3 linked regions of the Caenorhabditis elegans genome follow. The protein of the gene in region 1 purifies or fractionates together with the protein of each later gene. This does not show direct contact. Each region holds a gene or a part of one and is shown in the gene's direction. Other genes may lie near its edges. The genes, in order: acp-6, far-6 and semo-1.

Region 1 (3,992 bases):
ATAAGTGTTTTTCATTAGCCCCTTTGTAATTTTAACCAAATTTTCTACAGTTTTCTACAGTAGTAATTCTTCCAATTAGCTTTTGGTGTAGCCCTTCCAGAAGGCACCAAAGATCCGAAAATTATGTTAGAGCCCTACGAACTCGCGAATGCCTCAATTAGCACAATGGAGCCATCGCGATAGGAACCCGGGAGGCATATATACTAGACAAATCCTACCGTATTCTCTGCAAACTTTACTTCAGCCTTCTGCTCATGAAGTCTCAAAAATTCTGTCTAATTGAAATTCAAATTGCCACGGCGCAATTCACGGTCATTTGAACTCACCTTGAACTCTCGCAGATTCTCGGAGAAAAACCGGAACTAAAGTTTTCTCGCGATCTTTGTGGTTTTGTGAAACAGAGAAAAAAAGAGTAATTGGTGTATTCAATTGGAAGAAATTGAATTGAAGATGAGATGGTGAAACATGGAGTTTTTGAGTTCAAATAAACAATTGATCTTCTTCATGTTTGTCTGTTTTCTATGTGTTTTGTGTATTTCATCTTTTTCTTTCATTCATTTAAAATTGTCTCATTTTCAATTCATTTCTCCCTTCCATGACAATTTCGAGGCCAAATTGAATTGAAGTTTGGTCGTACCTAACAGAGTATAAAAGAATGGCACAAAATGTTGAGAACGTACATCCAAACATCCTTTCTGTTTGTGATCTATATTTTTATCATGATATTTTGGTATTGTCACGTCTGGTCTCTTGTCACGGCCTTGAGAAATCCTTTAATGACAAGATCGTACTAGGTAGCATGTGATTTAGATTTACAGTACTCAAGTATTGCTATCCTAGGTACATAGATAGAAAAGTTAAAAGAATTATTTTTTGTAACTTGAAAAAAGGTAATTTTAAGATAAAGTTAGCATCTAGTGCTCGATCGGTTTCAGGATAGAAGTAAAATTTTGAAATTTTCTGTTAGTAACAGTTTCCAAAATGTGCCATGGATGCATGTTAAAGTAATTATTTTACAGCTTGAATTTAAAAATAGTGACTGATTTGTAGGCCCACTTCTATCGCGCCTGCCTTGTGCCTTTCAGTTGAACCTGACGAATACCAAAGTTGTACGGCAAGGGTTCGCAGATCATTGAGCACGCGGGAAGGTACGAGGCCGGCGCAGGCTTCTGAACTAACGTGATATTTCATTTGAGATTTTTTTAATAAAATTATTAGTTCCGTGTTTAATGGTTTCTCTATTAGACCAACAACTAACGGTTTTTTGTTCATTCTGTTTCAATGAAACGGTAACAAAACACCTGAAGATACTTTTTATTTCAAATCGGGTCATATCTTCTTTTAATTCAATTTTATTGAATTGTGTTCTGTCGTGTTATCTTATCAGTTTGTTATCGTTTCAAACAAAACAAAAACAGTATATAAACGCCGGGTAAGATGGAAGTTCACTGGCAATTCAGTGTTCTTGTGTAATTAACTGATTACCAGAATTTTAAATTTGTCTAGAAAAGCTCTCAGAATATGTATTTTTCAACCTGAATCTATCATTCTACAATCTCCTACCTTTTAGTCTAAACAGTAAATGCCTTCTTGCGGACCTGCAACGTTTGTGGAATAGGCATGTAGGTAGTCTAGTCATGAGAAGCTTTATCAGTTTTCATACTTCTTGGTTTGCTCTCATTAAAAAGTGATATGTTTCTTCAACTTTACCGTTGTATTTTACGCCACCTCAGACAAAGAAATTATATTTTCAGGTATGAACCTTCTACTATTTTCTGCCTTGATCTTGGCTACTTCAGCCGCCCATCTTCTCCCAAAGAAGTCTGTTGCAATTGATAAGAACTCGGTTCTTGTGCTGTTCGGAACTCGTCACGGAAACCGTCATCCAGAAGTTTTTCTCCAAGAGAATCCAAGAAGCTGGGGACATGAGGGAAATACTGAATTGACTTCAGTAAGTATTAATTATTGGAGTTTCTAAATGAAATCTAGTAATATTTCAGTTCGGAAAGCGTCAAGGACTTGGATTGGGAAAGGAATTGAGAAGCTTTATTGGAAATTTGATCTCTCGTAACTACAACTCATCTCAAGTTAAATATTACTCCAGTTCTGCCAACAGATGCCAAATGACTCTTCAGGTATGTGGCGAATTCCGAATTCAAAGTAAAATAATCAAAATTTATCTAACTATAAGTTGCCACATTGAAACAGTAAATTTTTAGACTGTCACTGCTGCTCTCCACGATCCAGAACAATGGGGGGATTGGGATAAGAAATGGTACGATCATTGGTCTCCAGTCCCATATGCCATTGATGATCCACTTCTTAGAATGTACGCTGTTAAGGAATGCAAAGGAAATGATAAGGGTACGGTTGTACTTGTATAATGTGAACATATAAATCCTGATTTTACAGTCTGGGGCCCAATCGACAAGGATTCCCTTCCATTCCTCAAGAAGCTCAAGACAAGCAACGCAGCTGAGCTCAAATACTTCTCTGACAACACCAAATGGAACATGGAGAATCTGGGAAAAGCTGCTGATTTGGCCGATAATCTCATTGAAATTGATCTCTACAAGGCTGAATATCCATCATGGATTAAGGCTCCAAAGTTGAAAGGATACACTTTCGAGAAGCTGAAGGCTAAGATTCTGGAATTTGCTGAAGTTCATCAGAACGCTTGTGCAGAGTACGGACCATGCGGAAACTTGATGGCTGGATATTGGCTTCAGAATTTGATTGATAAGGTTGCTGATGCTAACGCTGGAAAGGGACCACAAGTTATTGGATACGCTTCTGTAAGTTATTTACAACCTGTCAATATTAATGTGAAACCTCTATTTCCTGTGAAAAAATTATACAAATTTCAAATTCCAGCACACCGAAATCACTCTTTCCGTCATGAAATTGATGGGATACGTGAAGGATGAACTGACCACCTCCGCTGGATTCGTAGTTGAATTTAAACGTCTTCCAAAACCAGCTGTCCGTCTTCTCAACCATGATCCTAACCCAATCGATGATCATGTCATCTATCCAGCTGAACTTACTCCAAAACTTAAGAAATTGGCTGACAAGGATGGATTCATTCCATTGGAACAATTCTTCGCCTATGCAAAACAATTCGTAAGTTGGAAAAATAGGTTAGATTATTGTAACAAATTAACATTTTCAGTCCTTCTCCGATTGGAAGTCTCAATGCGACAAGGCTTAGATTCTTTGCATGAATTTATAATAATCGTTTGATTCGCTTCGTATGTACTAATGTAGTTACTTTTTAATAAATAATTCGAAAGTAATCAATGAAAATTGCAAAATAACGGAGAATGGGTTACTGTGCTCATTAAAGGGGTATACCTCGATTTGGAACTATTTTTGCGATGAAAATCGTTTTTTTTTCTATTTAAAAGATACGTGAAGCTCCATGGAGAACAAAAAAAACTCCAGACTGGAAACCGAAGTGTTTGGATATCGTCCACTTGATACACTGCAACTTTTTCCTCACGAGGGACGAGGAAAAGTGGTTTCTAGGCCATGGCCGAGTCCCCGACAAATTTCAGCGGCCATTTATCTTGCTTTGTTTTCTGTGTGTTTTCTTTCGTTTTCACCGATTTTTTTCCGTTTTTTCTTATCAAAACTAATAAATAAATATTTTTTGCAGATGCTAAAACAATTTCCAAGTGAAAAAATTGTGAGTTCAGTCGGCAAGTAGCGGTAAAAGTGGTCAATGTAATATGATGGATTACGGGAATAAAAAACCCAAACTTTTTCCCAAACATGATACATATGCTGTTTAGATGCTAAAAGTACCTGATTTTCATAACGAGACCGCTGAAAAAGTTTTGAGATTTTCATAATTCAACATTTTGTGCCAAAATCTCGACTTTTTCACAAAAAAAGTTGAATTTTGAAAATCTCAAAACTTTTTCAGCGGTCTCGTTTTGAAAATCAGGTACTTTTAGCATCTAAACAGCATATGTATCATGTTTGGGAAA
Region 2 (3,205 bases), 6.9 Mb from region 1:
CTGATATCCGGCAAACGGCGAATCGGCAATTTACCGTAAATGAAAATTTCCGGCAAATTGGCAAACCGGGAAATTGCCAGAATTGAAAATTTCCGGCAAATCGGCAAACTGCAAATTTACCGATTTGCCGAATTTGCCGAACGGCAATTGCCGATCACCCCCTGATTTACACCAGGGCTGCCGGTTTGTCGGTTTTTCGAAACTATCGAAATATCGAAAATTTTCGTTTTTCGGTTCTCCAATTTTTCGACTTTTCGATTTTTCGGTTTTGCTAAAAAAAATGCATCTGAATTCACTCGAAATTGCAAAAAATGGTGGTAGGCACGCACGTATTCAAGATATTTTTTCCTGATTTTTTGACACTACAAATTCTTGCCCTTAGTTCAAAGTTTCACTTTATTGAACTGAAAGCAAAGTTCCAATAAACCGATTATCAGTCCTTCCACTTGACACGTAAAACATGCAATATTTGACACTGATAATGTCAAACGGAATTCCAAAAAAAATGATAGATAAAAAATTTGATTGATATGCATTAAAACAATGCCTAATAGTTAGAAAAAAGTCAGATAAAGAGTTGGTAGGGACGGGACGATTCAGAAATAAATCAATTTTGAATTGACGGAATTTCTTTAGCCAAGACTCGCCTAATCATATTTCCGAAACCGATCAAAATGTTTTGTTCCAGTATTCTGAAAATGACTGCGAACTCATTTTTTCAAGAAGTTCAAGAAAAAGAGGTTCTCTTTTGTTTTTTTTTGTTAATTTAGGTACATTTTAAGTCATTGGAGATATTTCACAGAGACTATATTTTCAGGTATTTGTACTAAATGAGAAACTGGATCAGCTTAAACCCGATGCACTGTTGTAAATGCAACTATTAAGGTCAGTCATGGTAATCTCCGTAATTCTGTTTTACAGGTCACAGCTCGGTTTCTGTGGGCTCATTGTAGGGATTCAAACATGCGCTATAGTTTTCTCAAAAAGTGGCAAAAACTTAGTAATTGCCACTTTTTGACTATCAATTAAAATTTTTTCCAACCAAATTTTAAAAAGCTTTACAATGATATTGTTGCATTTTGGCACCACACAGATTTAGGTTCAAAAAGAAAACCCTAAACTTCATTACACTAAAAGTAGTTTTCTTAATAATAGAAATCCAGGGAAAGTGAGTCATGTGTCTCGAAGGGAACGTGACATTTCATTGGAACTCTCGGTTCGGTACACTATTTCGTTAACGATGGGTCATCCAAGGTCGTATAAAAACATGGCCGGCGGAGCAGGAGCTGCACAGCAGAAGCGGCGCCGAGCTTTCTTTTCTTTAAGTTCTGCCGTTTTTTTCTCATTTTTCTCATCTATTTTTCTTTTAGAAATATAAATTATAAAACAACATACAGTAGACATGAAAAAAAACTTTTATGGGTCTTTTTTTGAACTGTTGACTTTGTGAAAAAAATGGCCTGAAAGCATTTTCACATCTACAGTGCCGGCCAATATTCTATTCGCTTTCCGTGATTTTATGATATCCAGACTATTTCAATTAAAAGTGGCAACCTATATAATTTAAAATGTTATAGCAATGATCCGCATCTTCCTTGTCATAGCACTTGCCTCCGTCGCTGTCTTTTCTGCTCCAATTTCACGCTTACCACAAAGCTTAGACGACATCCCAGCTGAGTTCAAGGAACTCATCCCAGCTAAAGTTACTGAATACCTTAAATCCATCACTACTGAGGAGAAAGCTGCTATTAAGGAATTTATCAAAAGTGTTATGGGAGGAAACAAATCTGTTGAAGAATTGAGTGCTGATATCAAGGAGCGGTCCCCATCCCTGTACGCTAAGGTTGAAAAACTCGACGTCCTACTCCGCACAAAACTCGCGAAACTCGACCCCGCCGCTCTGGCTTTATTCGGGAAAGTCATCGCTCAGGGACTTTCTTTCCGGCAACAGTTCCATGCCGGATACCAGCCAACTCCTGAGATGGTAAAGAAACTCTTCAAGGGATACATTGCTGAATATAAAACACTTTCTGAAAACGCCAAGGCCACCATCACCGATGAGTTCCCCATCGTCGTTGAATTCTTTCAACGTGAGTTTTTAAAATTTGAAATAAGATTAAACATTCGGTTATTTTCAGACGAGAAAATTCAAGCCATCATCCAACAGATCGTGAACTACTAAATTGTTTTTTTTTCAATTATTTTACCAAAATAAGCTTGTTGTCATTTAAAAATAAGTACCTTTGAAATTAGGTGTTTTCATGAAACAAGGTACACTAAGAAAATTATCTCCACAAAGTTTTTTACATTTTGCAATTTGCACTTCCTATAATTGCTTAAGTACTCCACTAAAAAACCAATAACAATTTAAATGTTTATTAAATGTATTTCGAAATTTGAGATTCATATGAAATACAAACAAATTGCAAAAAGTAGAAAACTGCGAAAATTATTTTCTTATTAAACTTTGTTTTATGAAAACACCAAGCGTTTAGATACTTGGAAATTCTAATAAAAAAACCGACCCGCCTGATGTCAGCTGCTGTAGCTTTTTTTCTGGAACAGAGTTGTATAATTTTGAAAAATCCAAAGTGTAGAAAAAGTTTTCGTCAATACTTTGTTAGTTGAAAACATTTTTCCAATAAGCAAAGTATTTGAGTTTAAAATATTTGAACAAACCATTAAAATCACTGCAAATCCGGGGTATCAGACAAAAACCAGAAAAGTATTGAAAATATATATTTATTGAAGTACCATCATAAGTTATATAATAGTTATCATTGGAGAGAAAACCCTAGACATTGGACAATTCGGAATACAAATAAGGATTGGGGATTTGGGGGAAGACGGGGGAAAAGTGAGGGCAAACTAGGCGGTACAATTATGGTTGTCTATGCGTATCCGTTTCATGATTGTTGTTTTCTTCACGGTATATACAAAAAGGCGAGAAGATTGTAGCAGTTTTTGGTTCGATGATGATGTGTGTGAGATGTTCGATCGATTAGAAACGACGGGCCTTCTTGCGGAAGTAGCAGCAAACCATGCACTGAAAGAGTGTTCGTTTGCTTATGATCTATTCGAGCCTCCCTCCCCATTCTTACACACCCCCGTCCCTATTGTAATCGTCTCAATTGCCACACACAAGAACGGAAACCGGTTGAATTGGTTGCCGATCTCTTGCTTCTAGACACTACTCTCTTACCTG
Region 3 (7,735 bases), 7.6 Mb from region 1:
TAAAGTTTGCAAAAAAATGTTTAACTATTTCACTAAAACTTCATTAGGCGTTTCAATAAATTTTATATAATACAATGAGAAGCAATGTGAAAATCCAATAAAATTCAAATGAAAGATTGATAACATGCCTCATTTTACTATTGGTATGAGTTTTCTATTAGTATTGTAACAGTATTAACATGTAGCAATATTAACTGTAATTTCCCCATATATTTGTGGAGATTTTTATGCTTAAGGTGGATTTGAATGACTGTTCTCATGAGGAAATATGAACAACTTAATATTCAAATTTGTTTATATTTCCAATAATAAAAAAAAAATAAAAATAAAAAAAATTTCGCATGCTGAAAGACGCCGAAAGTTTTTTTTTCATCGTCGACCAATTTTTTTTAGCGAGTGACATTTGCCGTTTGCCGTTTGCAGCACCTAAAATAAATAAAAAATAAATAAAATTGTTGTTTAAACCTTTTTATTAGTGGAAAACGTAATAAGAAATTTGCAAATTTAATTAACCCAAGCTGAGTTTTTCTAAAAATTTGCTATATTCGCGATACATTTTTTTACTGTTTCAAGGAATCCTCATGGAGATTTTCAATAATTTACAGTTGATCCCATCTTCATCAATAATTTTGTCCTTCAAATTTTGGAATTTGTCGCGCGCACAACCCTGAATAATTGTTTATTATTTTTCTGTTAAGCCTAGTATCAGAAGATAAATTAAAAACGAAAAAACTCACTATTTTCAATTTCAAATAAATTCACGTTTTGTAGTCAGATCGGTTTTCCAAAATTAAAAAAAAATGTTATCAAAATATCTGTGCACTTTGAATCAGTCACACAATGTTCACAAATTCATCTCTAAATTCAAAAATTAATCTCAACCAGAAACGGTACTTGTAGTTTGTATCAGAATAATTTCCTACGTGTTTCTAGTAGATTTCTAGTTGGTTCATTGAACAATCATCTTGATGACTGCTAGAGATAAGACATAGAACAGCTAGTGATACCTTATCAATGTCATCCCCTTCTGTTGTCGATTGTCTTTTTCATTTTTGATTTTTGTGTTCAGTTCGTTATATAAATAGAGAGTAGTGGAAAACTGACAAAGTTCCTGCAAACTAAACCCGTCTGAGCCAAAATTAATTGTTTTCAAAACAGTTTTGTCACCTTTCCAAATAATCCTTTTCAAAAACAAAATTATTTTCAGTTTCACTGTGTGTTTATAAGTTTCACATTTTTCAGTTTTTTTTGGTTTTGCTACATCCGCGTTAGTTTTTTAACTTACAAATTTTCGCTGTATTTTTTTTTTAATTTTTACATTCCCCTTTTTAGAGCTGTGACAAAAAAAGTAATTTTTTCTGAAGCTAAAAATGTTTGCCCAAAAGTTTTCGTGCAACTTGTTTTCAAAGCTACAAAAATAGTGTCAAACTTGAAAAAAATTTAATTTTGCTATAGTTTAATTCAGCAAAAAATTGTATGTATGTAACTTTTTAATCCATACTACTGATTTGATTATATTGTTTGATTTTAAAAAAAAGTCAATATTTGCAGATCAAAAATCCCAAAAACCAAAATGTCCCCAAACTGTGGTTTAAAATGTCATGGTGGTCCAGGATATGCATCTCCAGCTGATGCTATAAAAGGACCACGAGAAGAAGTTTTATTTGTGACTGCTCCAAATGCAGCTGATGGTCCTGATGCCATTTTTACAGTTGATGTGAATCCAGAGAGTGACACTTTTTGTCAGGTAAATTTTATTTGTAAAGTTGATTTTTTTTCTTGTTTGGAGGAAAAAAATACTGTTTCAAAAAGACGTATTGAGTTTTAGGAATAACTAATTTTTTGATTGTCTTTTGTAGATCACGTCCATAAAGCTTGAAATAACTGTTTCTATATCAGAAAAATTGTTCAAATTACCGGAATAAAATTGCAATTTTGCAATTTTCATCTCTGTTGCATCAGCCAAAAATAAATCAGGAAACTTTGATTTGATCTCTCTGATTTCAAGGTTATCTCAAGCTTAAGAGTTTTAAATCGATTTGCACGATATATGATTGTATAGTAAAAATTAAAAATTATTATTTAATTGAAAAAATTATCGGTTTCAAAATATTGATATCCACTCGTAGTTTTAGCATTTAGAGATCGATCAATCATAACATTTTCCAGTAAAATTAATATTTTCAGGTGATCAGCCGAGTTGATGTGCCACATATTGGTGATGAAGTCCATCATACTGGATGGAATGCGTGCTCTTCTTGTCATGACAAACCAACTGAGAAGAGGTTAGTTAAAATATTTATTGTTTTAGGATGATACTATTACTCTATTAGTACAGGTGGCAAAATTAAATCAACTGTTCGAAACATCAAGTTTTGTTTAAAAATTTTTTTAATTAAATTTTCATTTTTGAAGTGTGGTTTTCCGACTTTTTTTTTTTAAAAAGTGGTCACAATAACATGTTTTTTTTTATTCTTCAAACAAAATCATCATATATTTGATAAATCTATAGATTCTCCCTTGTTTGTTTTTCTGATTTTTAGATTTTCTCAAGAAAAAACTGATAAACCTAAATTTTTCCACGACCCTTGATACGGATGCAAAAGCTTTGTAATAAAATCAGATCAGAGCGACATTCACGAGAAGATCATTTTTATAAATTTAGTTAGACTTGAACCAATTTCTTGAAACAGTTTTTTAATTCGAATTTACAAACTTCACATTTCAGTCAACTGAAAGATCAATAAATTTTTAGATCGGAGAACTTTCATTAACAAACCAAAACAGTAGAATAATTTCTAAATAATTTCAGATCCCATTTGATCGTTCCTTGCCTGAACTCTGACCGTATCTACATTATCAACGTAGAAAATGAGCGTAAAATCTATCTTGAACATACAATTGAACCATCAAAACTTCATTCTCTAAACCTTTCATTTCCACATACTTCACATTGTCTTGCCGATGGAAATATTATGATTAGTACTTTGGGAGAAGCTAATGGAACTCCATCTGGTAACTTTTTGTTGTTGGATGGAAAGACATTTGAGCCGAAAGGAACATGGCCAGCTGACGAGAAGACTGTTCCGTTTAACTATGATTTCTGGTACCAGCCAAGGAGAAATGTGATGATTTCTACGGAATGGGGATCACCGAATCATATTAAAAAGGGATTTAATCCAGGTGGGAAAACTGAAAATACTTTTAAAAAATCACTGTTTCAACACCTCTTGTTTCATTTTACCAAAAATTAAAATTATTCCTTGCGGCATGAGCCATCAGCATCACTAAAAACCAAAAAGTTACAAATTTTTTTAAAACATGAAATTTTCCAGCTCACGTCGGAGAGGGTCTCTACGGAAACAGTGTTCATATTTTCGAATGGGACTCTAAGAAATATCTTCAAACAATTGATCTACCACAGCCACTTGGAGCACTTCCACTTGAAGTTCGATTCCTCCATGAGCCAACCAGTGAGCACGCTTTTGTGGGATGTGCTCTTGGATCAGGAATTTTTAGAATTCATCCTGTTGAGGAGGTGAGTAATATTCAATAGAATTTTCAGAAAAATTGAAATGTTTCAATAAGTTATTATTTGTTTAGAAACTGAGATTAATATGTTAAAACCGTAGAATAGAATCAAGATTAAAATTATTGTAAAACTAATTTGCCGAGCTCGGAAAATTTTGAGAACTGCCGCACATCCTTGATTGGGAGGTAGCAAAGTTTCCAAAACTGTTGCTTCTTCCAGAGTACTCAAATTTTATTCCATGAAAACTCTTCAGTAGAGTGTTTGATTTTTCAAAAGTTTCAGTCAATTGAAAATGGTTAAACAGTTTTGGAGATCAATGCCGTGATTTTACGAAAACATTGAAACATTCAAAAAACTTTTCAGTTTCAATTTGTCCTCATAACACACTCTGTTGTTTTTAGTTTAGTTCTGTTGGTATTCCTGTCATCTATTGAAATAGATCCGGTTTTTAGAATTCATCCTGTTGAGGAGGTGAGTAATATTGAAAAGAATTTTTAGAAAACTTTTAGAAAACTGTTTCAATAGGTTATCATATTGTATCTTATTGGAAGTTTATTTCATTTGCTAATCCAAAAAAACGTATGAAATCAAATATAAATGATCTTCGTAGGGGGAGTTGACAATTTATCAATAGTACTGATATTTTCGTTGTCAGTAATTGAATAGCAGTGTTGTAAGCTGATGTGTAACTTTCTGGGATCACCGAAACATTGCATTAGAAACTTTCAAGTTTAAAAATAAATAAATTGTTTCAATACGTTGTTATCAAAACTTCCGTTCTATTCAATTGATTTTTTTTCATTCCCGAAGTTTTCTGAGCAAGTTCTTTGGCAAAATGACTAACTTTCGAGAAAAATGTGGACATTTTGAGAAAATCAGAGCGCTTTCGTACATTTCAAATCCTTTAATGCTTTGGCATACATGATTAGGGCATAATTTGAATTTGAAATTCAGAGAAAGTTGTGTAGACCAAACTGCTATTTTTCTTTTTTTTCATTTGGAAGAACCAATATTAATTCAAAATAGTTTCAGTATTTATAGACTACTTGAAACATATAATAATTTTTAAAAAATATCTTTGAGTGTTTTTAATAATTTATTTTTAAATCAGTTTATAGATTCATTAAACGTTTAACAATGATGCAAATACTAAAAACGTATTTTTCCGAGTTTTTTAAAATTAGGTTAGTGAAACAGTAGATTTTTGATGAACCTTTTTTTAAAAAGCAGCATGCATTTAGTTTTGACAAAAAGTTCAAATCGATTTTTTCTGCGTGACTGTGAATCAAGAAAACTCGGTCAATTAAAGAAAGAAAAAATATTTTTTTTTCGACACTAAAAAATAATTTTAAAGCGCGGACATTATAGTCTCAGTGAAACTTTATTCAAACCAAAACGTTTAATCAGCTAATTGAAACATTAAAAATTTTATGATTTTGTTAGTTTTTCTAGCAATGTCAATGCAATCAAATAATTTTCAAGTAAGATGTTTAATGAGTTATAGACTTTTTTATTAAATTTTTGAAAAAAAAACCGATTTCAGATTTAAGTAAAATTATCTCTGCTTCTGCTGCATTGCTGCGAAACAAAAATTCCTTTCTGTGCAAAGTATAGTCTCACTGGAAATCAAGTTCGAGTGACAATTAGAAATCTCACCGGGTTTTCTAGATCATCTGAAACATATAATTTTAAAAAATTGACACCTTGTTCAACTTGAAACATTTAATCAGCCAATCGAAACATTAAATGTCTCATGATTTTTAAAGCTCTTTTAGAACAGTCGATAAGTCACGCCACAGTTCAATTGAAAACAATTTTCTAGCGAGATGTTAAATGAGTTTGTTGAAACAGTAGATTTTCGTGTAAACTTTTGAAAACAAAAATTACGTTTTAAATAAAATTATATCCACTTCAGCAGTGTGCCCTTGAAACAAAAAAGCTCGATCAAAAAATTTATTTTTTGTGAATGGCCACCAACTTTTCAGGCAAAATTACAAAAAAACATAAAATTTACTGTTTCAAAAAGTTAATATAATTTTGGCAGCGCATATACCTACACTTATTTCGACAGTTCGCGATAACCTCTTTTTGAAAATAAAGTTTTTCAGAAAAGTTGCTTCTTTCCTGTTCTCGAGGTGTTCTTTTAACACACTTTGTATTTTTTTTCTTGTAAAATCTCAAAATTCTGATAGTCAGTATGAAAATAGTTGCCAAATGTTTGTTGAATACTACTGAAAACAAATCTTCAGTGATACGTTGAATGAGAAACATTCAATTTTTCAAATAATTCCAGAACTCAACAACCCATGCAGCTACTCTCGTTGCCTTCATTCCTTCTAAAAAAGTAAGTGGATGGGCTCTTCCAGAAATGCCAGCTCTTATAACTGATATCCTTATCTCAATGGATGATCGTTTCCTGTATGTCTCGTGTTGGCTTCATGGAGATATTCGTCAATATGACATTTCTGATCCATTGAAGGTGAAATTGAATTCTCAAGTTTATATTGGAGGAAGTGTACATACGGAATCAAATGTAAAAGTTCTAGAAGGTGAAAAACCAATTGAAGCACTTTATGTGAAGGGACGGAAAATTGAAGGAGGTCCACAGATGTTACAGTTGTCATTGGATGGAAAGAGACTTTATGTTACAACTTCTTTATACAAGAAATGGGATGATCAATTCTATCCAGAACATGTCAAGTGAGTGCTACTTATGAAAAAATTTAGAATTATTTCTGAGAAAAAAGTTACCGTTTCATAAATGTAGTATATTTTGAGCAAACTATTTCCGCTCACTTGTGGGGCTATTCGCGAAATGTAATTCTTTTTTATTCATTTTATTCATTGAACCTTTGTCCTTACGAAACAAATTATCTCGAATTTTGTAGTTTACACTAAAAATACGCTCATGGTGAAATTATTGTTTAGAAAAAAAATCACCGTTTCAAAAATCTTTCATATTTGCAGCGATTCTCTCTCACTTGCTGAGTTGATTTTATCACGAATTCATGTTTTTCTTTGTTTTTCTAGTCTAAATAATTTTTAAAAAAAAGAACAACTATGAGAAATCGATAAAACAGTTCAATAGCTGCAGCACCGAAAGTTTGAAATTACACTACTCTTTAAAGGCGCACACACGTTTTCCGTTGAAAAAATAGTCACGTCGAGACTTGGTAATGTTTCTTTTCGTCCGCTTAATAATTCATGATAATTTCAAAAAAAAAACACCAAATTCGTCCTACTTTCTCAATGGAGCGCGTTTGCAACCCTGTCATTTTTCAGATCTGGCGCCACAATGGTTCAAGTCAACATTGATCCAGAATCTGGAAAAATGGAAATAAATCGAGACTTTTTGATCGATTTTGGAAAAATTGAAGGAGGTCCCTATTTGGCTCACGAGATGCGTTATCCCGGTGGAGATTGTACATCGGATATTTGGATTTAATTTGGTTTTTTTTAAAATGTTTTGCATAAAAAATTAGCTTGTACATATTCATCACAATTCATTCAGATTTTCAAAAAAAAATTGAAAGGATTTTTCAACTCATGATGCAACTAGAAAAACGGGGGAAACCAGGCGAATAAATATTGAAAAAAGGGGATTTTTGTAATGTGAACGAAGCAATCATCATATATGGTACAAAGAATGTGGCGAGTTGAAATCACGGGAATTTAGTAGAATTGCACAAAAAAATTATGGATTAGAAAGTAGGAAGAAAATATATGAACATCCGGAATTCTCCTCAATAAAAACTGGCTCCTTTTATCGATTGTCTTTTTCATTTTTGATTTTTTGTTCAGTTCATTATATGAATAGACAGTAGTGGAAAACTAACAAAGTTCCTGCAAACTAAACCCGTCTGAGCCAAAATTAATTGTTTTCAAAACAGTTTTGTCACCTTTCCAAATAATCCTTTTCAAAAACAAAATTATTTTCAGTTTCACTGTGTGTTTATAAGTTTTAAAAATGAAAGACATTTGATTCAAATGACCTACAACTTTTCTGAATATCTCAAAAATGAAAACTCAAAAAAGATGATCACTCGAACTAAATGCCCAGAAATTTTATTTTTGTTTTTAAATGAATTTTTAAAATGAAAGACAATAAATTCAAATGACCTACAACTTTTCTGAATATCTCAAAAATGAAAACTCAAAAAAGATGATCACTCGAACTAAATGCCCAGAAATTTTATTTTTGTT

Evidence for each region.
Region 2: the proteins of acp-6 (region 1) and far-6 fractionate together in Caenorhabditis elegans (co-fractionation; one large-scale study listed by BioGRID). This does not show direct contact.
Region 3: the proteins of acp-6 (region 1) and semo-1 fractionate together in Caenorhabditis elegans (co-fractionation; one large-scale study listed by BioGRID). This does not show direct contact.

The regions. Positions count from the first base shown.
Region 1 is NC_003282.8:6,423,902-6,427,893, reverse strand, and holds acp-6 (Histidine phosphatase family protein), read left to right. Parts: upstream 1-1,754; 5' UTR 1,755-1,756; coding exon 1,757-1,951; intron 1,952-2,000; coding exon 2,001-2,135; exon of another isoform or gene 2,136-2,205; intron 2,206-2,219; coding exon 2,220-2,364; intron 2,365-2,412; coding exon 2,413-2,795; intron 2,796-2,874; coding exon 2,875-3,123; intron 3,124-3,172; coding exon 3,173-3,211; 3' UTR 3,212-3,294; downstream 3,295-3,992.
Region 2 is NC_003282.8:13,326,782-13,329,986, forward strand, and holds far-6 (Fatty-acid and retinol-binding protein 1), read left to right. Parts: upstream 1-1,577; 5' UTR 1,578-1,579; coding exon 1,580-2,090; intron 2,091-2,138; coding exon 2,139-2,182; 3' UTR 2,183-2,533; downstream 2,534-3,205. Other genes in the region: pqn-74 (Chitin-binding type-2 domain-containing protein), read right to left, coding at 3,002-3,046, 3,203-3,205.
Region 3 is NC_003282.8:14,049,649-14,057,383, forward strand, and holds semo-1 (Methanethiol oxidase), read left to right. Parts: upstream 1-1,551; 5' UTR 1,552-1,573; coding exon 1,574-1,747; intron 1,748-1,846; exon of another isoform or gene 1,847-1,867; intron 1,868-2,145; exon of another isoform or gene 2,146-2,166; intron 2,167-2,187; coding exon 2,188-2,285; intron 2,286-2,300; exon of another isoform or gene 2,301-2,321; intron 2,322-2,347; exon of another isoform or gene 2,348-2,369; intron 2,370-2,626; exon of another isoform or gene 2,627-2,647; intron 2,648-2,719; exon of another isoform or gene 2,720-2,744; intron 2,745-2,812; coding exon 2,813-3,183; intron 3,184-3,260; exon of another isoform or gene 3,261-3,281; intron 3,282-3,335; coding exon 3,336-3,538; exon of another isoform or gene 3,539-4,003; intron 4,004-4,088; exon of another isoform or gene 4,089-4,113; intron 4,114-4,176; exon of another isoform or gene 4,177-4,197; intron 4,198-4,323; exon of another isoform or gene 4,324-4,344; intron 4,345-4,520; exon of another isoform or gene 4,521-4,542; intron 4,543-4,660; exon of another isoform or gene 4,661-4,681; intron 4,682-4,846; exon of another isoform or gene 4,847-4,867; intron 4,868-4,884; exon of another isoform or gene 4,885-4,905; intron 4,906-5,147; exon of another isoform or gene 5,148-5,168; and 20 more.